Oryctolagus cuniculus: one gene and its partners. The protein of the gene in region 1 interacts with the protein of each later gene in a biochemical or structural test. Links are inferred from orthologs where the notes say so. Each region holds a gene or a part of one and is shown in the gene's direction. Other genes may lie near its edges.

What was found.
Region 2: the proteins of ARF6 (region 1) and CYTH1 form a complex in vitro, tested with the Homo sapiens proteins (2 studies listed by BioGRID and IntAct, with this or other methods). The link is inferred for Oryctolagus cuniculus from reciprocal best matches to the Homo sapiens genes ARF6 and CYTH1.
Region 3: the proteins of ARF6 (region 1) and ARFIP2 form a complex in vitro, tested with the Homo sapiens proteins (2 studies listed by BioGRID). The link is inferred for Oryctolagus cuniculus from reciprocal best matches to the Homo sapiens genes ARF6 and ARFIP2.
Region 4: the proteins of ARF6 (region 1) and HTR2A form a complex in vitro, tested with the Homo sapiens proteins (2 studies listed by BioGRID). The link is inferred for Oryctolagus cuniculus from reciprocal best matches to the Homo sapiens genes ARF6 and HTR2A.
Region 5: the proteins of ARF6 (region 1) and RAB11FIP3 form a complex in vitro, tested with the Homo sapiens proteins (2 studies listed by BioGRID). The link is inferred for Oryctolagus cuniculus from reciprocal best matches to the Homo sapiens genes ARF6 and RAB11FIP3.
Region 6: the proteins of ARF6 (region 1) and CYTH2 form a complex in vitro, tested with the Homo sapiens proteins (3 studies listed by BioGRID and IntAct, with this or other methods). The link is inferred for Oryctolagus cuniculus from reciprocal best matches to the Homo sapiens genes ARF6 and CYTH2.

What each region holds. Positions count from the first base shown.
Region 1 is NC_091443.1:26,198,546-26,202,615, reverse strand, and holds the start of ARF6 (ADP-ribosylation factor 6), read left to right. Parts: upstream 1-1,270; 5' UTR 1,271-1,550; coding exon 1,551-2,078; 3' UTR 2,079-4,070. UniProt on the Homo sapiens protein: GTP-binding protein involved in protein trafficking that regulates endocytic recycling and cytoskeleton remodeling. GTP-bound form plays an important role in the transport of multiple palmitoylated proteins form the Golgi to the plasma membrane.
Region 2 is NC_091448.1:2,886,020-2,890,239, forward strand, and holds the start of CYTH1 (cytohesin-1), read left to right. Parts: upstream 1-1,420; 5' UTR 1,421-1,531; coding exon of another isoform or gene 1,532-1,550; coding exon 1,551-1,553; intron 1,554-4,220. UniProt on the Homo sapiens protein: Promotes guanine-nucleotide exchange on ARF1, ARF5 and ARF6. Promotes the activation of ARF factors through replacement of GDP with GTP.
Region 3 is NC_091432.1:60,403,279-60,407,341, forward strand, and holds the start of ARFIP2 (arfaptin-2), read left to right. Parts: upstream 1-1,263; 5' UTR 1,264-1,458; intron 1,459-2,242; 5' UTR 2,243-2,284; coding exon 2,285-2,383; intron 2,384-2,612; coding exon 2,613-2,709; intron 2,710-3,432; coding exon 3,433-3,551; intron 3,552-3,724; coding exon 3,725-3,946; intron 3,947-4,063. Other genes in the region: TIMM10B (mitochondrial import inner membrane translocase subunit Tim10 B), read right to left, coding at 475-651, 842-937, 1,120-1,146. UniProt on the Homo sapiens protein: Plays a role in constitutive metalloproteinase (MMP) secretion from the trans Golgi network. May have important functions during vesicle biogenesis at certain cargo subdomains, which could be predominantly utilized by secreted MMPs, such as MMP7 and MMP2.
Region 4 is NC_091440.1:65,865,664-65,869,604, reverse strand, and holds the start of HTR2A (5-hydroxytryptamine receptor 2A), read left to right. Parts: upstream 1-1,141; 5' UTR 1,142-2,717; intron 2,718-2,853; 5' UTR 2,854-3,437; coding exon 3,438-3,846; intron 3,847-3,941. UniProt on the Homo sapiens protein: G-protein coupled receptor for 5-hydroxytryptamine (serotonin).
Region 5 is NC_091450.1:34,226,834-34,231,046, reverse strand, and holds the start of RAB11FIP3 (rab11 family-interacting protein 3), read left to right. Parts: upstream 1-1,413; 5' UTR 1,414-1,807; coding exon 1,808-2,470; intron 2,471-4,213. UniProt on the Homo sapiens protein: Downstream effector molecule for Rab11 GTPase which is involved in endocytic trafficking, cytokinesis and intracellular ciliogenesis by participating in membrane delivery. Recruited by Rab11 to endosomes where it links Rab11 to dynein motor complex.
Region 6 is NC_091449.1:8,592,821-8,596,997, reverse strand, and holds the start of CYTH2 (cytohesin-2), read left to right. Parts: upstream 1-1,377; 5' UTR 1,378-1,393; coding exon 1,394-1,856; intron 1,857-2,110; coding exon 2,111-2,258; intron 2,259-2,359; coding exon 2,360-2,426; intron 2,427-3,205; coding exon 3,206-3,324; intron 3,325-3,898; coding exon 3,899-3,979; intron 3,980-4,177. UniProt on the Homo sapiens protein: Acts as a guanine-nucleotide exchange factor (GEF). Promotes guanine-nucleotide exchange on ARF1, ARF3 and ARF6. Activates ARF factors through replacement of GDP with GTP.

The sequences.
Region 1 (4,070 bases):
CCTTGGTCTTCCACCAACATGGTATTATTTCATCCTCCAAGCGGGGCGGAGTAAGCGAGGTCAGTTTACACAGGAGATCAGCGAACGAGGTTAAGTGGCCTCTCAGGTTCTACACCCTACGCTAAGGTGACTGCAGCACGGGTGGGTGGGTGGGTGAGCAGCTGCCGCTCCCATACTAAAAGGAAGTGACACTGGACTAAGAACAGTTCATCGCGTTCCAGAAAGCTCTTCACCGCCAGCTTTTACAAGAAACGTGAGCTGGTCCTGATGCAACACGGACAGGGCTCCAGTGTTCGAGAGAGGGGCTTCCGAGCAAACCCGAGCCCAGCCACGGCGCGCCACTGACTGGCGGGTTCAACACGAGCGCGCCGGCCTCCCATGCGTCTTCCAGGAAAACCCTGAACACCAGAGGCAACGATACCAAGGAGGGGGTCGGAGAAAAAGCTAAAAAGCGGCCAAGGCGTCCCCGGGAGACCCGGGGCGCGCGAAGTCCGCCGAACTTTCCGGGCCTGCAAGCGGCTCCGTGGGGGCGGCTCGTCCGGCGGCCCCGCCCTTGCGGAGGCTCCATTTCCCCACCTCCCCGGAGTATTTGCTCCCCGGACTGCGGGGGCGGGCAGAGGCGCGGAACGAAGGGGCCGCCGAGCGCGCAGACGCGGCGAGAGCGACAGGTGGGCGCGGGCCAGAGCCCGAGGCGCGCGGGCTCGGGCGGGCGGCACCCGCGAGCCCTCCGGGACGCCGTAGCCCCGCCCCCTCCGGCGCGTGGCGCCCGTGACGCTGGGCGCGCGGGCCGCTCTCCTTCCAGAGGTCGCTCTTGTCCGAACGGTCGGCCTGCGCTGCGCCTGCGTGGTCGGGAGGGGAAGTGAGGCGGTTTCTTGGGCGCCTTTTCCGGCAGCGGCAGCGGCAGAGCTGGGAGGAGGTGGCGGCGGCCGGAGCGAGCCCGTGCTCGGGGCGGCGGCTGGAGGTAACCCCCACCACCACCACCCGGCACCGACACCCGGGGGCCGAGCTGTTAAGGCGGGCGGCCTCGGCCTCCGCGCCCGCTCCCGTTCGGAGCTCCGGCGGTAACTCCCTTCTCCTTCTCTGTGTCTCCGCAGGCAGCGCGCTGAGTTCCCGCGAGGATCCATGACCTGACGGGACGCCGGCGCCGCGCTGCCTGACGGGTGGCCTGGGTCGGTGGCGAGCCCGGTAGTCGGCGGGCCGTCGGGCGGGCGGAGGAACGGGCACGGCGGCGGCGCTCGCGCGGCGCCTGCGGGGGGGAAGGGCAGTTCCGGGCCGGGCCGCGCCTCAGCAGGGCGGCGGCTCTCCGGGCGCAGACTCAGGGCCCCGGCGGCGGCGGCGGCTGGAGGAACCAAGTTGTGCGGGTCGGTGATGCCCGAGTGAGCGGCAGGCCCGGGCCTCTCGCCCCGTAGGAGGCGACTCCCACGCAGGCCGCACGGGCGCCCTCGCGGCAGGGAGGCTTCGTTTCGGTTTCGCGGCGGCGGCGGCGGCGTTGTTGGCTTGAGGGGGAACCGGGACACCTGAATGCCCCCGGCCCCGGCTCTTCCGTCGCGATGGGGAAGGTGCTATCCAAAATCTTCGGGAACAAGGAAATGCGGATCCTCATGTTGGGCCTGGACGCGGCCGGCAAGACCACAATCCTGTACAAGTTGAAGCTGGGCCAGTCGGTGACCACCATCCCCACCGTGGGCTTCAACGTGGAGACGGTGACTTACAAAAACGTCAAGTTCAACGTGTGGGATGTGGGAGGCCAGGACAAGATCCGGCCGCTCTGGCGGCACTACTACACCGGGACCCAGGGTCTGATCTTCGTGGTGGACTGCGCCGACCGCGACCGCATCGACGAGGCCCGCCAGGAGCTGCACCGCATTATCAATGACCGGGAGATGAGGGACGCCATAATCCTCATCTTCGCCAACAAGCAGGACCTGCCCGATGCCATGAAACCCCATGAGATCCAGGAGAAACTGGGCCTGACCCGGATTCGGGACAGGAACTGGTATGTGCAGCCCTCCTGTGCCACCTCAGGGGACGGACTCTATGAGGGGCTCACATGGTTAACCTCTAACTACAAGTCCTAATGAGCATTCTCCACCCAGCCCCCGGAAGGAGAGAAATCAAAAACCCATTCATAGGATTATCGCCACCATCACCTCTTTCAATCGCCACTTTCTCTTCTTTTGAATTTGAACTCTGGAGTTACAGTTCTACGGTTTAGGGAGGGGGGGTTGGGGTTTTTCTTTTTTTTTTGCTTTTTTTTTTTTTCTTTTCTTTATTCCGCTTTGCGTTAGGATGCTCTGATTTGACGTTTGACATGAACACAAAGTGCTAGGTGCTCTTGTTGACTTCCAGCAAATGGGGTGGGGGAAATACAGCAGTTCTTGGTAAAGTCCTTTATAATAATGGTTTGATTTTTTTATTTCTAGAGAATCTTTTTCCCCCCCAAATGTATGCTTTTTTCCTTTTTTTTTTATCCAGTTTCCTTATCACTTGCTGTAGATGGCTTATTTTGCATTCATGCAGACTATGTTGCAAGTCTGTTTCATCTAGTAAACTGAAAATTATTGCTTAATCAAACTGCCGTTTGTCTTTTATATTTAAGGCTCCCCCCCTTATGAATTCTAACTTAGTAATTTCAAATGTGACCTAAGACCAGTATAAGTAAACTTAGCCCACAGTGGCAAATAATGAGTAATATCATTGTAATATGTTCCAGTTGCACATCAGTATGTTAAACAGGTAATGTAAGAACTTATTTGAAATGTCAGCTATTAACTCCTAAGACATACATCATGCATGAGTAGGAATAAAACCCAGGGTCGTCATAACATAGCAAACTTAACACTGCAAAAAATATGAAAGTATAACCCGCCAAGGACATGAGGTTTTTTTTCACTGCAAAGTTAGCAACTTTTCCTTTTTTTAACATCAAAAATAGACTCCTTCCAGAAAATGGAGCAATAATGGTGTGTGCCACACACAGATATCTGTAGATATTTTAAGCGACTTTTGGGCAAAACTGGAATACTTATACATTGTTTCAAGTGTCTTAAGAGCAGTAGTATTAAAGTTACTGAAACATTAGTTTGTTCATTAATAAAGCATTTAATGATTCAAGTTATATGCACCTTTTACCTAGATGGAAAAATACACATTCCTGTTTTCACATTACTGCAACTGACTAAGCTGAAGATATATCATTTTTTATAGATGAGTGATCCACATCTCCTTTAATTAGAACACTGGAAAAGATGTTTTATAAAAAAGATATTTAATTTTGTTTGATTGTGGGATTAACTCGTGCAAATAGTAAGACAACCTGTTGGTTCAATAGTACACTGTCTCCTTTAAGAAAGGCAATGTGATGAATGAATGTTGGATGTGTAGACTTAAGGGATGACAAAGGGGAAGTGGGCTGAAGAGAGAACCTACAGATGACAATGAATGTAAACTTATTTTTCTTCAAGGGTAAGCAGTGTGCTCACTGGTGATATCCAGATCCTAACAGAATTACTTGGGTAGCAAGTTAGGACCAGTAGCTAGATTGAGACCACTATGGTAGTATTTTGAACCAAATGTTAATGCTTGATACAGAGTTGTGAAGCACCATCTGGTTCTTATATAGCCTTAAGGATTAATTTTAGTGATCCTCAAGGAATTAAACTTAGGGAATTTCAGAAATGTAGACTGCAAAGGCAGTATACAGGAAAAAGTGGAGTGGGTTTCGTTTATGAGGGTGTCTGAAAACAAAACTGAGCGGGATATCATGGTATAGTTGGACAGTATTGGTCCTTCATGCTTTGGCCATATTGTATAATGGAGCTTTTACCAAAGATATCTGAGAATCATAAGGCTATTTTAAAAAAAAAAATCAACCATTCAAAGTAAAACTCTTGACAAAGCATTTTTCTTCAAGCAGATGAGAAAAGGTGCTATGTTGTAGGCTCCGGCTGGTACAAAGGGATTTTTGAGTTCAAGATGCAACTAAAGTATAAAGTAGTCAGTTTCACTTTAGTGAAAGTATCTCTAAAAATGAAGCTGATCAAACACATCCTAAGAACATTATGGTTGCT
Region 2 (4,220 bases), on another chromosome or scaffold:
AAGAGACGACGCATCCAGAGCGACACGTCCTTTAGATTTTTAGCAGGAACGGAACACAGTCCCGTGTTTAACAACCACCAGACAGCACAGAAAGACAATGAAGAATCGGATGGGAAACCAGGTTCTGACTCCCCCTCCTCCCGCAGTACCCCCGTCAACAGTTTTTCTGTGTTTCCTTCCAGAAAAAACATGTTCACGCACACACATGGCAGCTCGTATGACCCTGAGGCACGTCACGTTTGTGGCTTTTGAAGTGGACACTTGCAGGGCGCTCCACGGGGGCCCAAACCCCTGAGGCTCCGAGCCATCTGGCAGACAGGCCGACACCGCCGGGGCAGGACCGCGGCTGCCCGAGACGCGGCAGGGGCTCGGGGCGTGTTCTGTAGCTTCTACTTCTGTTTTCGGCGGGTCTAATACAAAGAGCACCCCGGGTCCAGGGATCCCCGGGGAGTGCTCGGCCGTGTGGTGGGCAGGCAGGGGGGCCGTGAGTCATTGCAGCCGGGACAGGGCTGGTCCTGGTGACGGCAGCACAGCCGTGGGATTTTCCCCTTGGTCACACAGAAAGAGAAGAGGCCCCCAAGTTTCCCCGTGTGTCATCGGTTCCTTCCTGCAGGGCCTCACGGGGGTAGGCCGGGTGAGCAGGTGGAAGGGGCCCGGGACCTGCCGCCCAGCCCCTCCGTGTGTCCGGGCATCGGTTTCCCGCCTGGGACCTGGGACCTCACGGGGGCGGGTATGTCTCAGGGCCTCTCCCAGTCACTGGCTGGCTCACGACTGGGGAACTGCGGACGCCTGCCCAGCAGGTGCTGTGAGCTCCGCGTGCTGCGCTCCGGCCACTCCACTGGACGCCAGGGGACAGCCAGGGGGCTGCGGGGAGTCGCTGAAGCCCGGACCCGCCGGCAGCAGGCTGCCCCCTTTGTAACTCGACCCACACACACCGGGAAGCGTGAGCGACAGACTCCGCAGAGTCACACACGAAAGGCGCAGACGGACTCTGTCGCTCCGCGGCCTTTCGCCACGCAAGCTGGGGCCTGCCCTGACCTTCCAGGTGCACGTCAGCAAGGACCACGCTGCCCTTCAGTGGCCGGACGTGACCTTGGGCCTCTGTGGGCAGCTTTTACCGGCGCGCCACACCCGCAGGCCTGCGTCGCCCTTGCGAAACCCGAAACCTGCCCGGGGCTCGGGAAGCGGGCGGGGGCGGGGCCTGGGGCCTGGGGCGGGGCCGGCGGCTGGGCGAGGCGGGGCTTCGGCTGCTGCCACGGGCGCAGGCGCGAGCCGGGAGGCGGCGCGTGCTGGGGGCGTGCACACGCCGGGTGCGGGCGTGGCCTGGGGAGCGCGCGTGCGCAGGCGTGGGCCGGGAGGCGGCGCGTGCCGGGCCGGGGCGGGTGTGTGTCTGTGTGTGTGTGTGCGCGCGCGTGCGTGTGCGCGCGGCGCGGGGGGCGGGGCTCCGAGCCGGGCTGAGGCGAGCGGGCTGCGGGACGCGAGCTGCGGGACGGTGGCGGCGAGCCGGGTGGCCGAGCCCGGGGCCGGCACCATGGAGGAGGACGACAACTATGGTCAGTGCAGCCCGCGGCCCGGCCGCCCTGCGCCCCCTGCTTCGCGTCCTGGCGGCGCCCGGGCCCGGCGCCCCTGGCGGCCCGTGTTTGGTGTGGACGGCGGTGCGGGACGCGGAGCTCTGGGCGCCGGGTGTCGCGCGGGACCCTCCGCAGGCCGGGGGCGTCGGGTCTGGGGAGCCGGGGGTCGCCGCAGTCCGACGACTCAGGCTGGGCGTCGCCGGGACTGTGAGGGCTGAGGGCCGTCGGGCCGGGGTCTCCGGCGCGCGGAGGGTCTCGGGCGGGGGTCTGCGGGGCTCCGAGGGCTGAGGGCCGTCGGGCCGGGGTCTCCGGCGCGCGGAGGGTCTCGGGCGGGGGTCTCCGGGGCGCCGAGGCGGGGGTCGCCGGCCGGGAGCCCACGCCCGAGTCCTGGCCGGCCCGCCCTCCGCTGGCTTCCGGCCGTCCTCGGTGGTCGCCGGCCGTGCGCTGCGGTCCGGTTCTTTGTTCGGAAGTGGCCGGAGCGGACGCCGGAGTGCGGGGCCGGGGCCTGGCCGGGTCCACGGGCGGAGACCGGGCTGGCAGCCTCGTCCTCGCCGAGCCCCGGAAGCCGCTGGCCGCGGCCGGAGAGCAGCCCAGCGTGGCAGGGGTCGCGGAAGGTGACCCGGTTAGTTCATTAACGTTTTGTTCAGAGGAATTAAAGTGAGGGGACGAGCTGAACTTGACCGAGCGCCGGCTGGGCCGAGCTGGGCCGAGCGGCCGACCCCGCTGACCGCCGCTGTGGCCGGCGGCGAGTTAGAAGCCCGAGAGGGAAGCGCGGCGGCGGCCTCGCCGGCGGAGAGGTGGGCTTCGGACGGGCGCTGGCGCCGCAGGCTCGCGTGGGCAGCAGGTGGGCGCTGTCCCCGGGTGTCCCCTTGTCCCCTCGAGGCCGGAGCAGCGCGCGTGCCTGTTGTGATTGGAGGAGCCCGGCCCGGGTTATCTCCGGCGTCCCCGGCGAAGTCCCTCGGGTCCCGGCGTGCGCGCGCGGCCCCCTGCCCCTGGCCGGCTAGGGTCCGGTGCTCCTGGGGCGTGCACCCGGGCGGGATTTGAACTTGAACTTGGGAGGGGTGGATGGGAGCAGGTGCATCCATTCCCTCAGTCACCAACTCATGGCTCCAGACAGCACGTGTGTCACGTGACGGCGTGGGGTGGGACGAGGCCTCACCGGGCTCAGGGGGCGCCTGCTGCAGACCCCGGGGGAGAACCACTTCCTGGCCCGGTTCCGCTCTAGGGGCTGCCCGTCCTGTGCCTGCTGGGCCCGAGCCACGCCCGGCTGGGGGCTGCAGGCCGGATTCTGCCTGGAACCCGGCCCCTGCCTGCCGGTTCCGGGAGCAGCCTCCGGTTGTGCGGGTTTGGACGTGGAGGGGGAAGGACGTTCCCTCTGGACAGCACAGGTTTAGACGGGGTGGCGCAGCTTCTCGGCCCCGGGCCGCGCAAGCGCGTGCACGCGCACTCCCTCGGGGTCTGCAGCGTGGCCGCCCCCAGGCCCCGTTTCGGGAGCCGGGGAGACTGGCGGAGCGCGAAGGCGCTGGCAGCCTCGCTGTTCTTCAGCTGAACTCGGTTCTCGAAAGGACGCGGCGCGGCCTGCGCGGACTTTACTGGCGCTGTAGCTGTCACAGCTGCCCTGCCCTGGGTGTTGGTGAGGGTTTGAGTCAGCCCGGGACTCGCGCCCTGCTCAGCGGGTTTCTCTGGGGAAATGCTTTATGACTTCCCAGCTGCCATTTTAGTATTAAAAAAAAAAAAAAAAAACCCAAAACTTCTGGAGCATGACTGATCTGTCATGGCCCGAAGACAGAGCGCGGGGCTCAGCTCCCTGCTCAACCGGAGAGCGAGAAAGAGGCCGCCTGGACCGCGGTCCTCGCTGCAGACGCCTGGCTGGGCCCGGGGAGGGCTGTGCCTTTACTGGGTCGTTTGTTTTTAAATCCGTTTATGGCGCCAGAGGAGCCTTTAACTTACATAAATTTAACTATTTGTGCTCAGGAAAAAGAAAAATGGAATTCCGCGTGCATTCTCTGTATCACATACATGGCCGGGGTATGTTCCCGTGTAGCGTCAGAATTAGGAACACGGAAGCACACACAGTGCACCCGAGGGGCCTGGGGGGTTGCTAGAGAGTTCTCGCCCTGCGGTGCTGCAGGAGCCGGGCTGCGGGCCAGTGACCGCTTTGCCCTCACGCAGGTGCCTGCTCTCCGGGGTGGTCTCCCCACGCCGCGTCCCCGCGCCGCACCACGCCCGCCACGGCACACGCACAGCTGGTCTCTGTTTCAGGAAGTTTGCCCTACGGACGCACGTTGTCACCGCGAATCTGTTGTGACTTTGCCAGTTTTCAGTGAACGTTTTCTCCCGAGAGGAAGCCTGCAGAGCGTTCTCACGCAGCTTCCGAAATCCTTCCTTCCCGTTCGCCTTCGATGCCGTCTTCACGTTGAGCTCCCAGGCGGGTGGAGCGCCCGCGCAGCCTGGTGGAGCCAACGTGAAGAATTTTGGGGCCGGCGCCGCGGCTCACTAGGTGAATCCTCCACCTGCGGCGCCGGCACACCGGGTTCTAGTCCCGGTCGGGGCGCCGGATTCTGTCCTGGTTGCCCCTCTTCCAGTCCAGCTCTCTGCTGTGGCCCGGGAGGGCAGTGGAGGATGGCCCAAGTGCTTGGGCCCTGCACC
Region 3 (4,063 bases), on another chromosome or scaffold:
ACACAGTCCACAAAAACAGTCACATACCAATCCACATTTGACTCACAGGTGCATCTTTTAAGGCAGACTTAAGCATGGCCAGACAGGGCTCCCATTTTCTGCCATCCGGGAAGGAAACAATTCTATTGTTACTACCGACCTTGATCTTGTCCCTACAGAGCCTGACTTAACCAGCTGCCTGAACACCAGACATTTTCCTTCTACATATAGAAAACACTTCCTCAGTGGTCAGGGCTGAGGCCAGCAGATATGCACTAAACGACAGAACAAAGGATGGTGCCTACAGTGAGCAAAGGTTCCCTGCCCATAATATAAACCAAACAGAGTAAAAGGTGGGTTTATTGGCTCCAGGAAATGGAGCAACGGTACCCAACTTTCAGGCAACCCCTCGTGCAGGCTTCACCTAGTCAAAGTCCACAGGGTCCTTCAATCTGAGGGCCCATCCAAGGCCTTCCCTTTTGGGACTGGGGGTGGCTAGCTGCTGGACGGTGAGCCTGCAGGCTGTTCAGCGGCAACACCCGGCACAGCTGAGGCAGCCTCATAGTCTGCGATGCGGCGCTGTACCAGGGCAGGCATGAGCTGCACGTAAGCGGCCATGAGGCGGTGGTTGGAGTGGATCAGCTTCCCAGCACAGCTGTGTAGACAGGCCTCCTGAAAGGAAAACAGAGGGGTTAAGTAGAGGCCAAAGTGGTCCCGTTAGGCCCGGCTTCGTCCTTCCCCAACCGCAGCCTAGGGGTGAGGGTGGTGGGAAGGCCAGGCCGGAGAGGAAGGGGAAGGGGGTGGAGGAGGCAGACGACCCGTAACTGAGGATCGAGGGTAACGTCCCTACATAGTTGCCCACCTCCTCAGCGTCCAGGGCTCGGTGGTGCAGGCTGGGCACACAGCGCTGAAAGCAGAGTTCTGTCATCCGATTGTAGACCAACAGGAAGTCCCGCAACTGGAAGAAAAGGGGACCAAGAACTCAGCGATATGGGCCCCATACCTCAAGGCCCCGCAGCCACAGGCCTCCCAGGACCACGTTTCATAGCCGTTTGTTCCCAGCCTTGGCATCCCTGGCTCTCTGCAGTTCCTGCAAAGCGAGCTCACGGCACGGCTCTAGGGCGACTTAGCAGCACTCACGTTTCTCAGTTGTTGCTGTTGCTCCATCCCGCCAGGCGCTCACGCCCTACGTCACTTCCGTTTCAAGGTCTGGGTACCGCCCCGGAAGTAATCTCTCGTCGCTCCCCCGCCCTCCCCCCCACCAAGGACTAAAGGGTTGGCCCCAGGATAGCCCTGCCCCTGGCTGCTACGTCACCTCCGCCCTTAGAATCTGCGACGTGGCCAGCTTCTTCTGCCCGGAGAGGCCGTCACTTCCGCCGAGTCCCTGACCTGCTGCTAGGATCGCGACGGGAACTGGAACCGGAGGTCCCCGCGCCGCTCGGGCCTGGCGCCCTGAGGGGAAGAGCTGCCCGGCCCGAGGTGAGAGGGACGTGCCTGGGCGAGGGGAAGTTGAATGCACGGACCTGTCCTGAGGGCAAGATGCCCCTGAAAGATAGGCAAGGATGAGGACACACCTGATGCCCAGGTGTGTCGGGGGGAGGGGAACAGGGACTCACACACCTGAGAGACACAACTGACTTTGGAAGGGATCACCTTTGCTCTGGGGAAGAGAGGCTTTTACCAGCGACCAGCTGTTTCAAGCGAGGCCTGGTGCGGAGGGCCCCTGGAAGAGGAGGTGTATGAGATGGAGGGGGGAGACCACCCTGAAGGAAGAGGGAAAGAACATTTTAGGAGTATGAAAGGCGGAGCAATAGAGAGCATACCTGAGTGGGGAGAAAGCACTGGAGTGCTGGAAGGGGGCTTGGCTCCTGCTGGGAGTAAGCGCACCTGCATGGGGCTAAGTTCCAAGAGACCGGAGACTTTATCTCTCTTGTTCAGTGCTGTGTTTCCATTGCCTCAGATAGTGGCTGTCACATAGTAGGCACTCACTAAATGTCTGGTGAATGAGTGAATGCATGAACAAGCACCAGGTCCTGAGGTTGGGAGGTGGGGAGGCTGTGAGAAGACACCTGAGGCTTGGGTGTAGGTGTGTAGAAATGTGCGCTTCGGTGGGGGAGAAATACATATGCCTGAGGAAAGGAGTGGTGGCTGAACTCCAGGACACTCAGCCTGGGACTACCTCTAAAACATGAGAAATGGCAGGAGCGGACTCTCTCTTCCAGACTGCTGGCCACTTTCCAAAACTGTCTGTTGGGCTTTGCAGGGTGCTGGGGTGGAGACTTTGGCTCCAGCCCCTTCCCTAGCCATGACGGACGGGATCCTAGGGAAGGCAGCCACAATGGAGATCCCTATCCATGGGAACGGCGAAGCTGGGCAGCTTCCTGAAGATGATGGGCTGGAGCAGGTGCTTCTCTTTCATTCTTGTTTCAATTCGGGAATCCAGTTTATAAAACCTGGGCTCTCACCCCTATTCCAGCAACCTTCCTTAGCTTATCTACCTCACTTCATCCTTTTTACAAATCTTCATTCTGATTCTGTGCAGACTTCTCTAGTGTACTGTCTGTGGTGCTTCAATCCAAGCTTGTTCCCACTCCCACAATGCCTCAGCTGCCCCCCTCTTCTCTGGCCTATAGGACCTCCAGCAGGTGATGGTGTCAGGACCCAACCTCAATGAAACCAGCATTGTGTCTGGGGGCTATGGGGGCTCTGGTGATGGACTCATCCCCACAGGTATGAATGATCAGAGACAGGAAGCCTGAGTGGGGAGGGGGGTAGGAGTGGTTTGGAGGAGCATGGTATACAAGTGTATCTCGGAAAGCTTGGGAACTTCTGCTCATACAAACCCCATAGAGTCCTCTCAGCCCAAAGCCAGCTCCCAGGGTTTGCTGTCGGCTTCCCACTTACCAGTTAGCCCCTGACGTGGCATTTTTGTCCTTTCCCTGCTACAACCATCTGAACCAAGTTAAGACTTCTGGTTCACAAAAGTTCTCCTGCTCTAAAGCTTAAGCCTAATTTGGAACTCTGTGAGGCTTCTCAGTTTTACTTTAGACTCTAAAGTTTAGAGGAACAAACAGTCCCGGATGTCACTGACTGGGATTCCACATGGAGATGCCTACCAGATTTCCAAGGACTCACCATCTTTGACACCCCACCCCCAACACAATGTATTTTCTTGTTGTCCCTGCCCTGCATACCAGCAACACTCCTCCCAACCTCCCTCTACCCCAGCACACACACACACACACACACACAAAGGTAGCCAAATGTATATTGGGATTGGATTCTCAGGGCATGAGGTACATACATGTCCCTTCTAGTGAGCAGGAGAATTCAGTTGTCTCAAGCTTCCTTAGGGAAGTCATTTTCATGTGCTGGAAGGAAAGTATGAGTGAGGCCTTAGAGATGTCTGATTGTATCTGAGAGCAGCTGGTGTCAGAGAACTTGGTCCTTTAGGGTCTGGCCGCCATCCATCTCACAGCACCACTCCTCCTGGCCCTGGGGATGAAGTGGCTCGGGGCATCGCTGGAGAGAAGTTTGACATTGTCAAGAAATGGGGCATCAACACATATAAGGTGGGATTTAGCCCCTCTCCCTTCCCCAAAACTCCCCCTGGGTACTTTTTCCCCCAAATCCTAATATGCCATCTATGGCTGAGACTAGGAGCCTGGGGGTGCTGGAGTACGTACCTATTGGGAGGGAGGCAGGGTGCTAGGGTTTCTGACCTATTCCCTCACTTCCCAATCAGTGTACAAAGCAACTATTATCAGAGCGATTTGGCCGAGGCTCCCGGACTGTGGACCTGGAGCTAGAGCTGCAGATTGAGTTGCTGCGTGAGACGAAGCGCAAGTATGAGAGTGTCCTGCAGCTGGGCCGGGCACTGACAGCCCACCTCTACAGCCTGCTGCAGACCCAGCATGCACTAGGTGACGCCTTTGCTGACCTCAGCCAGAAGTCCCCAGAGCTTCAGGTGCCTCAGCCAGACCAAAGAGGGTTGGGGGACTGGGCCCTGGCCCTTCCAGACAGTCACTCCTCAGCCTCCCTCCCTCCCTCCCTCCTGCAGCCCACAGGGAGAACCCCTTCAGGG
Region 4 (3,941 bases), on another chromosome or scaffold:
TCTTCATCTCTGCTGGAGAAGGCCACAGAAAGCTTAGTACATTGTTAATAAGAAAAGCAACAATTGAACTTTACTGAGTGCTTAAAATGTGCAATACACACATGGAAATTATTTAGCTTTCAAGTCAGTCCTCGAGGTGTTAGTAGTCCATATTTTAGGTGAAGAAACTAAAATCCAGAGATTAAATAACTTAAAGGTCAGAAATAGTGAGTAGCAGCTCTGGTACTCCAAGAGATCACTTTGGAACTGAGTTTCAAGAGTGAGCAGGAGTGACCCAGGTGGAGACAGCAGTTGGAGAGCGAGAGCATTCCAAACCGATAAACTTCATTTCAAACATGTAGAAGCAGTCAGAGGCCAGCGCCATGGCTCACTTGGCTAATCCTCCACCTACGGCACCAGAACTCCAGGTTCTAGTCCCAGTTGCTCCTCTTCTAGTCTAGCTCTCTGCTGTGGCCCAGAAAGGCAGTGGAGGATGGCCCAAGTGCTTGGGCCCTGCACCTGCATGGGAGACCAGGAGGAAGCACCTGTCTCCTGGCTTTGGATTGGCACAGTGCACCAGCCGTAGCGGCCATTTAGGGGAGAGAAGCAACGGAAGGAAGACCTTTCTAACTGCCAAAAAAAAAAGACGTAGTCAGAAACATCCGGGTTCAATCTATCAATAGGCATAGAGGCAAGAGTACAGGCCTGGGCAGTTAGGCAAACAGGACAGGTGGATAAGAAAGGAACCATGTGCCCTACAACAGTTTAGTAATTGACATTATTCTATTTGCATTTAATAAGAGTTAATAAAAATGGCTATCAAGACCAGAGTTCGGGCTATTCTAATCCAGTTTCCTGTGAAGCTAGGATCTGCTGCCTACCATGGTGTACATTAAGTACTTAAGTCCCTGCCACTAACATGGGAGCCTCAGATCGAGTTCCTGGCTCCTAGCTTTGGCATGACCCAGACTTGGCTGTTGTGGTTATTTGGGAAGTGGAACCAGTGGATGTAAAAATCTGTCTCTGCCTTTGAAACACTGAATAGTAAACGCTTAGTATTGAGAGCATCTTGTAAGGAGAACACTAAGTAATTGACTCTCATTTGAGCTTCATAACAGTCTCGTGAGGAAGGTACCACCATTATCCCATTTTACAATGGAGAAGGCTAAGCTTTGAAGCAAGAAACCAGATTGCTTGGGGTTCTATTTACAGCTACAGAACCACATTCAGTACCAAGGACCTGCCACTCTAGACTGTGCTGTTGGCCAACTGTTCCCCAGGGCACTCATGTGATGCAGAGGAGCAGGATGGGAACAGGGCAGCGAGGGGGAAAACGAGTACACCAGCCCAGCAAGTGGCTGCCACAGCCCTCACCGAAAGTACGGCAGCCATGGGCTGTAGCAGGAGAGTCGTGAGAAATACACAGCTCGAGGTATCACTGGAGGCTGCTGGAGATCTGGCAGCAGGAAAGAGGCAGTGACTAACCAGCAGCCGTGTGTAGAGATGATGCTTCCACTAACCAGGACAGTGACTGGCACAAGCACCCCGACAGAGTGGAGAATGGCCATGGATGCTCAGGAGGTCAAGGTCTTCCCAGCTAGAGGGAAAGGTCCAGAGGGCAGCGGGATGGGTAGATCTGGAACTTCATCTTCTTATGAAAGAACAGATTCAGCCACCAACACGTGGCAGGCATGAGTAGTTAGGTGTGCCCAGGGTGAATGTTAAGGTGACAGGAGTGTAGAAAACCCCAAGGATTCAGCAAAGAGCCCCTTTCTGCACGTGTAAGGTTAAGATCTGTCTGCCTTCCCGAGACAACTCCCAGGCAGCACACTACTACGAGGGAAGCACAGTCACCAGCATTTCTTCTACCAAGCTTACTTGCTACCCTGTGTGAGGATCTAGATGGCATATTTCTCCCAAAGCCAGCCAGCCAGCTGAAGGGCATGTTTAATGGTCAAAGTAAAACTTCCTCGTTCATCAGGGTTATTGTCACAGACCTGCTTAGCCACTCCAAGCCCACGCTGCCCGTGTCAGTAATTCCATTTTGGCCACCAGCCCTGTTGGCTTTGGATGGGAGCTCTGTAGGCTTCTAACGCTTTCAGAACACACCATCCCAAAGCCCGATTTCTGTTCTGCTCAACACTTTGCACCCTTCAACCCAACACATCACAGCATAGCTTATCTGCCTCATCACAAATCTACATACGAGTCCTTGTTTCCAGTTTCATTTTTAAAGCAAAAAGCTTCCCAGTGATAGCATGTAGCAAGGAGAGGGTGAGGGGAAAGGGGAAAAAAAAAAGCCCGTTTGGTCTGCCCTCACTGGCTGTTGCTACCTTGCAGTTTGTGACACACAGAGGGAGGTCTAATCAAGGGAAGGAGGCAGCCAGAGGGCCATTTCATTCCCCTGGAAACCAGGAGCCCCCTTGATGCTGACGTCTGTGCCTACTTTCCCATGCGACTTTGAGGGGGGCTCTGGAGCGATTTCGTGCCGTGCGCCAGCTGAGCGAGCCGCACAGGGAGGGAGGATCTGACTGAGCGGTGGCAGAGGAAGCCAACACGGACCTCACAGTGCTGGAACTGGCTCCGGTCTCGCATGCAGTTTTGGAAGTCAGCAAAAAACAGAAATCAAATTACTCTCATCTGCTACTGGAGAAAGCTCAACCCGGCTTCATTACTATGCGAGAGGCAGCAAGGAATCTAATAACCCAGCGTGCCTACTGTGTGGATCTGAAGATAATGTAAGTTCCCATACTGCTGTCTAATTTTCTGGTTTGAAATCATGCTTAGCCACAGTGCCATCAATTTGATGATAATTTCTAGCGTGGAAAGTTATCCACTGATCTTCAGAGAGGTTTCCTCTTTCCTTTTATTAAGGAAGCAGCACAGTGCAAGCTGAAATTCCTGACGGCAGCTGTGGCAATTCAGCCCAAGACTGAGAACGCGAAATATATCCAATTACTATGGGATTACCACTGCTTGTTTTTATAATTGACTTTCTCCATACACTGTCTGCATCCCTGCTGTTTTGGACTGCATGCCGTCTCAATATTGAGATGACAATCTAGTGTGATCCGAGTAACTGACAGCGTGAGACAGGATTAAACCCAATTCCTAGTAGCTACAAAACTTTCTCAGCCAGGGTCTCTCCCCCAAAGCTGAAAACTCTACCACCTGGCTGAACTCTATCTTCTGCTTAAAGTTCATCCTGCTTTTTTGTCCTTACTTCGCGTTTTCAAAAGATCAAAGCCAACGTTGGAGTCTGCTGGAACAGGGGACACAGGAAGCGCCACCTCGGCTCTCCATTACCGTAATAATGGGAGAGGGGCAGGCAGCCAGAGGATCCCAGCGTGCCCCACAGCGTCAGTGTGACAGAGTGCAGGGACGAAGATGAATGGCAAGCACAGGCTGTAACTTAGCGATCTCTCTACACTTCAGCTGCTGCACGCTGCGGCTCAGAAATGGATATGCTGTGTGAAGAAAACACTTCTTTGAGCTCCATGAACTCTTTAATGCAATTAAGCGATGACACAAGGCTCTACAGTAAAGACGTTTCCTCCGGAGAAGCCAACACTTCCGATGCATTTAACTGGACAGTAGACTCCGAAAACCGCACCAACATTTCCTGTGAAGGGTGCCTCTCACCACCATGTTTCCCCTTCCTCCGTCTCCAGGAAAAAAACTGGTCTGCTTTATTGACAGCTGTAGTGATCGTCCTAACCATTGCTGGGAACATCCTCGTCATCATGGCTGTGTCCCTAGAGAAAAAGCTGCAGAACGCCACCAACTATTTCCTGATGTCACTTGCCATAGCCGATATGCTGCTGGGGTTCCTAGTCATGCCCGTGTCCATGTTAACCATCCTCTACGGTGAGTGGCACCACTTTCCCAGCCGGACCCACGCTGGTCATGTGCAGCATGTGCATGCCTCAAGACACGGGGGACAAGCTGGGCAGAAGGCTCTG
Region 5 (4,213 bases), on another chromosome or scaffold:
TAAAACGGTAAGATTTCTATTCAATGTCTAAGGACATCCACAGTTCACTGAGAGATCATCTTCAGATTCTTGTAACATCCAACACTTCAGGGGCAGGAGAGCCATGGAAAAGGAAGAAAGGGCCGCCACTGGCCGAGCACACTGGGCTCCAGGCGTCAACAGCAGCAGCCGCTGAGTGCGACCCAGACACCACGGCCAATGCGCACGAGCAGGGAGAGTCCAATGCAGTCTGCTACAACCTCCGTGGTTTGAGCAAATCCAGCTGGCCTGTCCTGGACCCCCTGCCCCCTTTGAGGTCTCCCGCCTCACTGTTTCCCCCCCTGTTGGCTGTGCCACCAGCCTGGCCTCAGCTCCCCCCCCCCCCAGGCCAAAGGTCCCCAAGGAAGGGAACAAGGTGACCCACGGGCTGGCTGAGCTCCAACCCGCTGGGCGCAAACACCTTCCGGTCACTTCCACGGACATCGGCAGCTGGGATCTGCCCTCCCTTCCTCCAGGGTCGGGGCGGTCCGGAGGGCAGCAGGTCTGTCGCTGGGCAGCCCTGGGTCTGAACGGCTGGCCCGCGGGGGAAGGCCTGCTGCCCTGGCCTGGTGCTAGCGCTGGCACAGCGGCAGGAAAGAGCCTCCGGGTGGGCACTGGGCCGTGGGGCCCGCGTGGCAGCGCCGGCTCCGGCAAGCGCGTCCAGGTTGAATGCGGCGCTGGCCCAGCCGAGGCCTGGCTGCTGCAGGCAACTGGGGAGCACCCAGATCCCCAGCCTTCCGGGCTCTGAGCGGGGACGCCGGTCTCTCCGCTTCCATCTCCACGCAGCAAGGCGGCTCTGCACACTGTGTGCGGCCCGGGGCGGGGGGTTCTGGCCGAGCCCGGAGCAGCGGCGACCCCTCCTCTTTCTCCCCAGGGCGCGCTCTGGTTCTCCAGGGGCCCGCTCTCCCCGCCACACACTGCCCCGGGGCGTCTGCGGACAGGGACGCCGGACACGCCGCGCCCCCACGGCTCCAGCCGAAGGCCGCAGCTCCGCACCCGTCACGCCGGCCCGCGGTGCGTGAGGACTCAGCCTCCGTGCAACCCGCGCGCGGCGTTTGACGCTCACCCCCCGCTGGCGCAGCTCCCTCCACGTCGCCACCGCGCGTGGGTGTGCGGCGCGCACAGGTTCGAGGCCCGTCCTCGCGCGCCCCGCGCTGGTGACTTCACGCCGGCACCCGCAGCCGCCCAACACGCAAGCTGCCGGCGCCCGAGGCCCAGAAAAGCTGGGCCGGAGTCGCCGAAAAGGCCGAAACAACCACCGACGGCGAAACCCCGCGAACACCGCCGCGGCCCCGGCCGCCGCCCCCTGGCGCCCCTATTTATAGAAAGCCGGGGGGCGGGGCCGGCCGGCGCCCGGCGTGCTGACGTCAGGCCGACGGAGGGCGGGGCCGGGCGGCGGCCGCGGCGTTCGCTCCTCGGGTACCCCGGGCGCCGCATCCTCCTCAGCCGGCGCCGCCTCGGGTCCTCGCCTCGCGCGCCCCGCGCCCGGCGCCAGCTGCCGGGCTCTCGGCGTCCTCCGCGGGTGGTGCCGCGCCCGCCGCCATGGGCCCGCGCCCTCCGCGCCGCCGGGCCGAGGGCCGCTGAGGCGCGGGGCGAAGATGGGCGAGGGCGGAGCAGGGCCCGAGTGCCAGCCGGAGCAGCCCGGGCGCCCCGCGCGCGCCCGCCCGCGCCGCCGCGGGGATGCCCGCGCCCGCCGCCGCGCCCTGAGCGCCTTTGTCTGCCGCCCGCGCCGCCCGCCGTACCACTAGCCTCGCGGGCCCGCGCCGGGGCCGGGGGCGCGCCCCGCAACATGGAGCCGGGCCGGCCGGCCTCCCCTCCGGGCCCCGACTCGGAGCCGGGCGCGTCCGCCGGGCCGGCCCCGGGTCCCTCGGAGTGCGATGAGCCGGCCCCGGGGCTGGAGGACCCTCAGGACACCGGGCCGCCCAGCCGCGGTGCGCGGGGGCAGGATGCGGACGCCGGGGCCCGCCAGGCCGCCTGCCCGGAGCCCGACCCGCGTTCCGAGGTGGCATCCCCGGAGCCCGACCCGCGTTCCGAGGTGGCATCCCCGGAGCCCGACCCGCGTTCCGAGGTGGCATCCCCGGAGCCCGACCCGCGTTCCGAGGTGGCATCCCCGGACCCCGACCCGCCTTTCTCCTGGACCAAAGGCCCGGAGGACTGTGGTCTCCCGCCGTGCCCGGAGAGCCCGTCTTTCTGCGTGCAGGCTCCGGCTCTCAGCTTCGGTGTGCGGGATGCGGCCGACCTGTTCCCCGCCTTCCCTTCGCCTGCCGTGGACGAGCTGGCGCCGGAGGAGGGTCGGGCATCCCCGGAGCAGCCCCTTCCTGGCGAGCCCGCGGGGTGTCCGGAGGACGGCCCCCGCCTGCGAGCGGTGTTCGACGCCCTGGACGGGGATGGGGACGGCTTCGTTCGCATCGAGGACTTCGTCCAGTTCGCTACGGCCTACGGGGCCGAGCAGGTGAGCGGCACGGGTAGGCCCGGGGGTTCTGCGTTCTCTGATCCACCGCTCCGCCCTGGGCTCCTGGTGGGGTTTCCCGGGAGGCCCCCGCCTCCCTGTCCTGCCCAGGGCCGCGTCCCAAGGCCAGCTCCCGGCGTAGCGTCCTGCCCCAGGCCGCCCGAGGCGTGGCCGGAGCCCCCTTGCCCCTTGAGACCCTCCTGGGGGACGCCCCTTGTGAGCGCAGTTGCTTGGCTGTGTGTGGTTGGGTTAGGTTCTGCGGAGATTCCTTCTTTGTCTGTGGCCGGGGAACGCTGTGGCAGCTCCTTGGGGGTGAAGTGTTGGGTTCTGTGCCTCCTGCGGGCAGGAGGTGAGAATGAGCCTGGAGCTGACGGAGGCGCCGTCTGGCACGGGTGGGACGCGCAGGCGGACGGATGGAGTGCACGGGGCAGTGCCCGGGCCCGCGCCGACCCCGGAAGGTCACTTGCTGAAGTTAGGTGAAGATGCCCCCGTGCTGTGTGTGCGCGGACAGCCAGGGAAATCATGATTATCCATGTGCGTACTTTGCTTACCGGTGGGGAACCTCTAGCGTCCGTCTGCTACCTTTTGTGTTCCTTGACTTCTCAGGAATAGACTTTCGTGGAGTGAGTGTTCACGCACATACGCGCGCGTTTATGCCTAGAGGGTTTTCAAAGCAGGTAGAGTGGAGCCTGCTGTGCCCATCAGTTGGTATGCAGACCTGGGGCCCTTGCTGGGTTCACAGCATGGACGATGTCCGGGCACCTGCTGAGCACCCCTCCGTGTTGGGTCAGTGGAGTGCCTCGTGCTTGGGCGGCGCTGTCAGGGTGGGCCTGCCTCCTCTGATGGGCAGAGGCGGCGACAGGAGTCCTCCGGAGCTGGCCTGATTGGGACTGCTGCTTCAGGTCCTTTTTTTTTTTTTTTTTCCCAAGATTTATTTATTTGAAAGGTAGATAAATACACACACGGGGTGGGGGAGATGGGGGAGATATCCCATTGGCTGGTTCACTCCCTAAATGGCGGCAAAGGCTGGGGCTGGGCCAGGCTGAAGCAGGGAGCCTGGAACTCCATCTGGGTTTCCCACGTGGGCGGCAGGGGCCCTAGGACTCACGCCATCTCGCTGCCTTCTCAGGAATGCTGGGAGGAAGCTGGATAGGAGAGTAGTCAGGCCTCAGACTGGCGCTTTCGTGCAGGATGCTGGTGCTGCTGTGGCCCCTTGACCTCTGGGCCACCACACCGGCCCCTTGACCTCTGGGCCACAGCAGCCCCTTGACCTCTGGGCCACCACACCGGCCCCTTGACCTCTGGGCCACCACAGCAGCCCCTTGACCTCTGGGCCACCACACCGGCCCCTAGACCTCTGGGCCACACCAGCCCTTGACCTCTGGGCCACACCGGCCCCTTGACCTCTGGGCGACCACACTGGCCCCTTGACCTCTGGGCCATGACACTGGCCGCTTGACCTCTGGGCCACCACACCGGCCCCTTGACCTCTGGGCCACCACAGCAGCCCCTTGACCTCTGGGCCACCACACCGGCCCCTAGACCTCTGGGCCACACCAGCCCTTGACCTCTGGGCCACACCGGCCCCTTGACCTCTGGGCCACACCAGCCCTTGACCTCTGGGCCACACCGGCTCCTTGACCTCTGGGCCACCACACCGGCTCCTTGACCTCTGGGCCACACCAGCCCTTGACCTCTGGGCCACCACACCGGCCCCTTGACCTCTGGGCCACCACACCGGCCCCT
Region 6 (4,177 bases), on another chromosome or scaffold:
GAGTCTCAAGGGGTGGGGGAGGATGTTAAGTTGGGGTGCAGTGACGAGGAGGGATTCGGTTTGGAAGGACAGAATGGGGGCAAAGCCGACACACGCCGTTCTCTGGCCGGGTAGGACAGGACCCGGGCCGCTCATAAAGGTCAGTGAGGGGATTAAAAGGCTCCATGTCTAATCCAACGGCTTAACCAGGTCCTGGCCCCGAATCCGTCCCCGCCCGCCCAGCCCAGGGACGGCAAATGAGGTGAGGCCCAGAGACTTCAGTCCCCGTGGTCTGACCACTCACAGGGGCTCGGCGGTTCTGTCCAGGCGGGACCTGCGCACCTGCCACCCCCGGCCGGGGCTGTGGAACGGGAGGGCCTGGGGCGCGGGGGGAGTCTGAGAGGGTCGGGGTGGGGGATGCCTGAACAGAGCAGAGCCGGAGTCGGGGGAGAGAAAGCAGAGAGGCGGCAGAGAAAAGAGAAAGAGGTAGAGACTCGGAGGGAGGATGCTACGCTAAGGGGAGGGGCTTAGGAAAGAGGGCGGAGCCGGTGCTGTCCCTAACGTCCCATTCTGCGTGACCGGTACCCGGGAGTGTAGCATTTGACAGAACTCCATTTCACTACGTCCTGACCCTGAAGCGGCTGGAGTGGTCATGTGGGGCGTTAAGGGAAGGGTCTGCACGTAGCAAGGGAGACGCGAGGCAAAAGGCCGGCGAAGCCGCTCATGGTTGCGCGGCAACCGCGGCGGTCCAAAGCCAGCGTGGCCGGCCGGGAGGTGTGGCTCACGGCCTAGGCCCCGCCCCCTAGCAACAGGACTAACAAAGTAACGCCCCCTGGCAACGTGCTGAGAGGCGGGGCTCGACTGACCCAGACTCCGCGCGCCCCGAGTCCTTGCGCAGGCTCAGTGTTCTCCGCTCGCGCACAGCCCCACCTCCTCACAACGCCTTTGCGAGGCTTCTCATTGGTGGACAGGCTTGCCAAGGGCATTCTTTTGTTTCGGGGGCGGGGCCTGGCGCCCTGCCCGCACCCCGATTGGGCCCCCTGGCTGTCTACCTCCGGCCGGACATGCCTAACACCTGTTTCTTGTGTGCCTATTGGCCTGGGCGGACTGTCCTTTGGCGTCGGGGGGCGGTGCAGCCCGGAGGGGTCGCCGCGGATTGGGCGGTGTCAAGACGAGGGGCGGTCCCTACCGGCCGGGCGGTTGGGCGACGAAGGGAGAGTCTTTTCAGCGCTGAGGACTGGCGCTGAGGAGGCGGCGGTGGCTCCCGGGGCGTTTGAGCGGGCTCACCCGAGCCCGCGGGCCAGCGCGGATCCAGGCCCGACTGGCGGGACCGCCCCGGACTCCCCGCGGGCCTTCCTCGCCGCCATGGAGGACGGCGTCTACGGTAGGCCGGAGGGGCGGGGCCGTGGAGCGGATGGAGCGTTCCCTGGCGAACGCCCCGCCGCCGGCGTTCGCGCCCGGCGCCCGCCGCCCGGGGTCCTCGGCGCCGCCGTCGCCGCCGCGCTGGCCGGGGCGCCGGGCGGGCTTCCGGCGGGGTCCGCGAGCGCGGGGCGTTCCGGGCCATTGTCTGGGCCGAGCCCGTTTCCGGCGTCGGCGGGAGGGGGCGGGATGGCGCGGCGGAGGCGAGGCCGGGGCGGAACCATTCCCGCCGGAGGGGCCGGGCGAGCCCAGCGGCGGGCGGGGAGGGGAGGCCGTGGGGGCTGCCGGGTCCGCCGAGGCCCGGCCGCGCCGTCCCGACTCCGCGGGCTGCCGTCGGCTTCTCCTGCCGTGGTCACTTCCCTTGGACCCAGGGCTTCCGAAGACCCAGGCCCATCTTCCCCCGGGCCCCCCGGCCGCCGCGCCAGTAATGGAATCAGAACACCACGGCCGCTTTCCAAGTAATGGACCCGGAGGCCGAGGCTCCCACGCGGGTTCCCCCTCAGACTCTGGGGGCCGGGCCCTAAGCCCCCCCGCCCCCCCCGGGACTCCCGGCCTCAGCCCTGGCCTGAGCGGTCCAGGCTGCTAGTGCCCCCTTCATCCGAGGCAGGCGCCTCACCTGCGTCCTGCCCCAGCCCCGTCTCGCCCCACGTTGCAAGCATGCAGGCTCCCGGCCCCAGGGCTGACCCTCGGCACCCCGACCCCGGCCCCGCAGAACCCCCAGACCTGACGCCGGAGGAGCGGATGGAGCTGGAGAACATCCGACGGCGGAAGCAGGAGCTGCTCGTGGAGATCCAGCGCCTGCGGGAGGAGCTCAGCGAGGCCATGAGCGAGGTGGAGGGGCTGGAGGCCAACGAGGGCAGGTGAGGGCCGGGCCCGGGGCGGGCGGCCCGAGCCAGGCCGGCCCAGGACGCCAGGCCTGACCCTGGGCCGCCGCCCCCGCCCTGCTTCGTGTCCCCTGCAGTAAGACCTTGCAGCGGAACCGGAAGATGGCAATGGGCAGGAAGAAGTTCAACATGGACCCCAAGAAGGTACCGGGGGCCAAGGGCTGGGTGCTGCCGGGGGGCGGGGGGTTGTAGCAGGTTTGTCCCCAGTCCCTGGACTCAGCTACTGGCTGTCCGCTTGCGCTGTGAGCCCTGAGCAGTCCAACCTCTGGGGAGGCGCCAGACACCAGGCTGTGGACAGCCAAACGGGGAGCCTGGGGGGCTGCCCCGAGGAGGAGACCAGGTTAGGTTTGGAGGATGGAGAGGCGTTCACCAGTTGGAGGAAAGACTTTTTTAAAAGGGGGAAAGAGAGGGAGGGAGGTCCCAACAGCCAGGGCTGGGCCAGGTCAAAGCCAGGAGCTTCTTCCGGGTCTCACGCACAGGTGCAGGGGCCCAAGGACGTGGCCATGATCTGCTGCCTTCCCGGCACGTTAGCAGGCGGGTGGCTTGGAAGTGGAGCAGCCGGGACGCGCACGCTGGCCCAGCATTGCTCACCCAGTCGTTCATTTAACACCCGTTTTCCAGTGCCTCCCGAGGGCCCGACCCTGTGCCGGGCGGAGCTGGGGACCCAGGGAGGAGAGGCCCTGGACACAGACCCACCGCCCAGAACGAGCTGTAGCTGCAGCGTAGGGGCTGCACGGCCAAGAGGGCGCCGAGGAGCCTCCAGGCCGCCTGGGGCTCGGTGTCCACCACTGCTGCCCACTGACACCGTCACTCAGCAAGCAGGTGTTCAGCGTGGACCTAGCCAGGCAGGGACAGGGAGGCTGAGGTCCAGGCACCTGTGACGGCCTGGCCCCGGGCACTGAGAGCCCGCTCTCGCCCGCCAGGGGATCCAGTTCTTGGTGGAGAATGAACTTCTGCAGAATACCCCCGAGGAGATCGCCCGCTTCCTGTACAAGGGTGAGGGGCTGAACAAGACAGCCATCGGGGACTACCTGGGGGAGAGGTGAGCCCCTTCATGCCTGCCGGCCTCGCTCCCTGGGCAGGGCCCCTGCACACTGGCCCTCGGACCGGACTGCTGCGGAGTGTGTGTGTCTGGGTGTGGGCGGCCTGCCAGCGCCCAAGACGGGGGTCCCCTTATAGAGAGCATCCAGGAGCATCACGGGAGTGGGAGAACCAGGCATGGGCTGCAGGTGTGCGTGGGAGCTGTCTGGCCAGCCAGGGAGTGTGGGGACGCGTGGCAGGCCCCTAGGGAGCACGGACCCCGTGGACATCTAGGCGATGTGCAGCTGGGTGATGGCTGGGGAGCATGTGGCTGGCGGGGGGCATTGGCAGGCCTTCATGGCCACTGGGGTGCACGTCTAGGGGCCAGGGCACCGTGTCCACATCTGGGGAGTGTGGGGTCGTCTGAGGGGGCAGGAGGTGGCGTGGGTGGTGGGTGCGAGTCTCCCAGCAACGGTGCAGCTAAACTTGAGCAGCCCTGCCGTGGGGCCAGGCGGGAAGCCGCGTTCCCTGCCGAGGGCCAGCTGCCCCAGTGCCCCCTGTGCGTTCCTGTGTGTGTGACTGTCCTGTGCTCGCAGGGAGGAGCTGAACCTGGCCGTGCTCCATGCTTTTGTGGATCTGCATGAGTTCACCGACCTCAATCTGGTGCAGGCCCTCAGGTGAGGGGAGGGGTCGGGGGGGCAGAAAGTCACTTTCCTTAGTCCGGAGTGGTGAGCCCCACCCCACACAAAACTAGGGAGTTGATTGCTTCTTGTAATGCCAAAGTCCATGAGTGAGCCTCCTCCAGGCACGGCCGTATCCAGGCGCCCTCTTCGCTCGTCGTGTTGGCATTGAGCTTCTTGACCTTCCTACGTGGC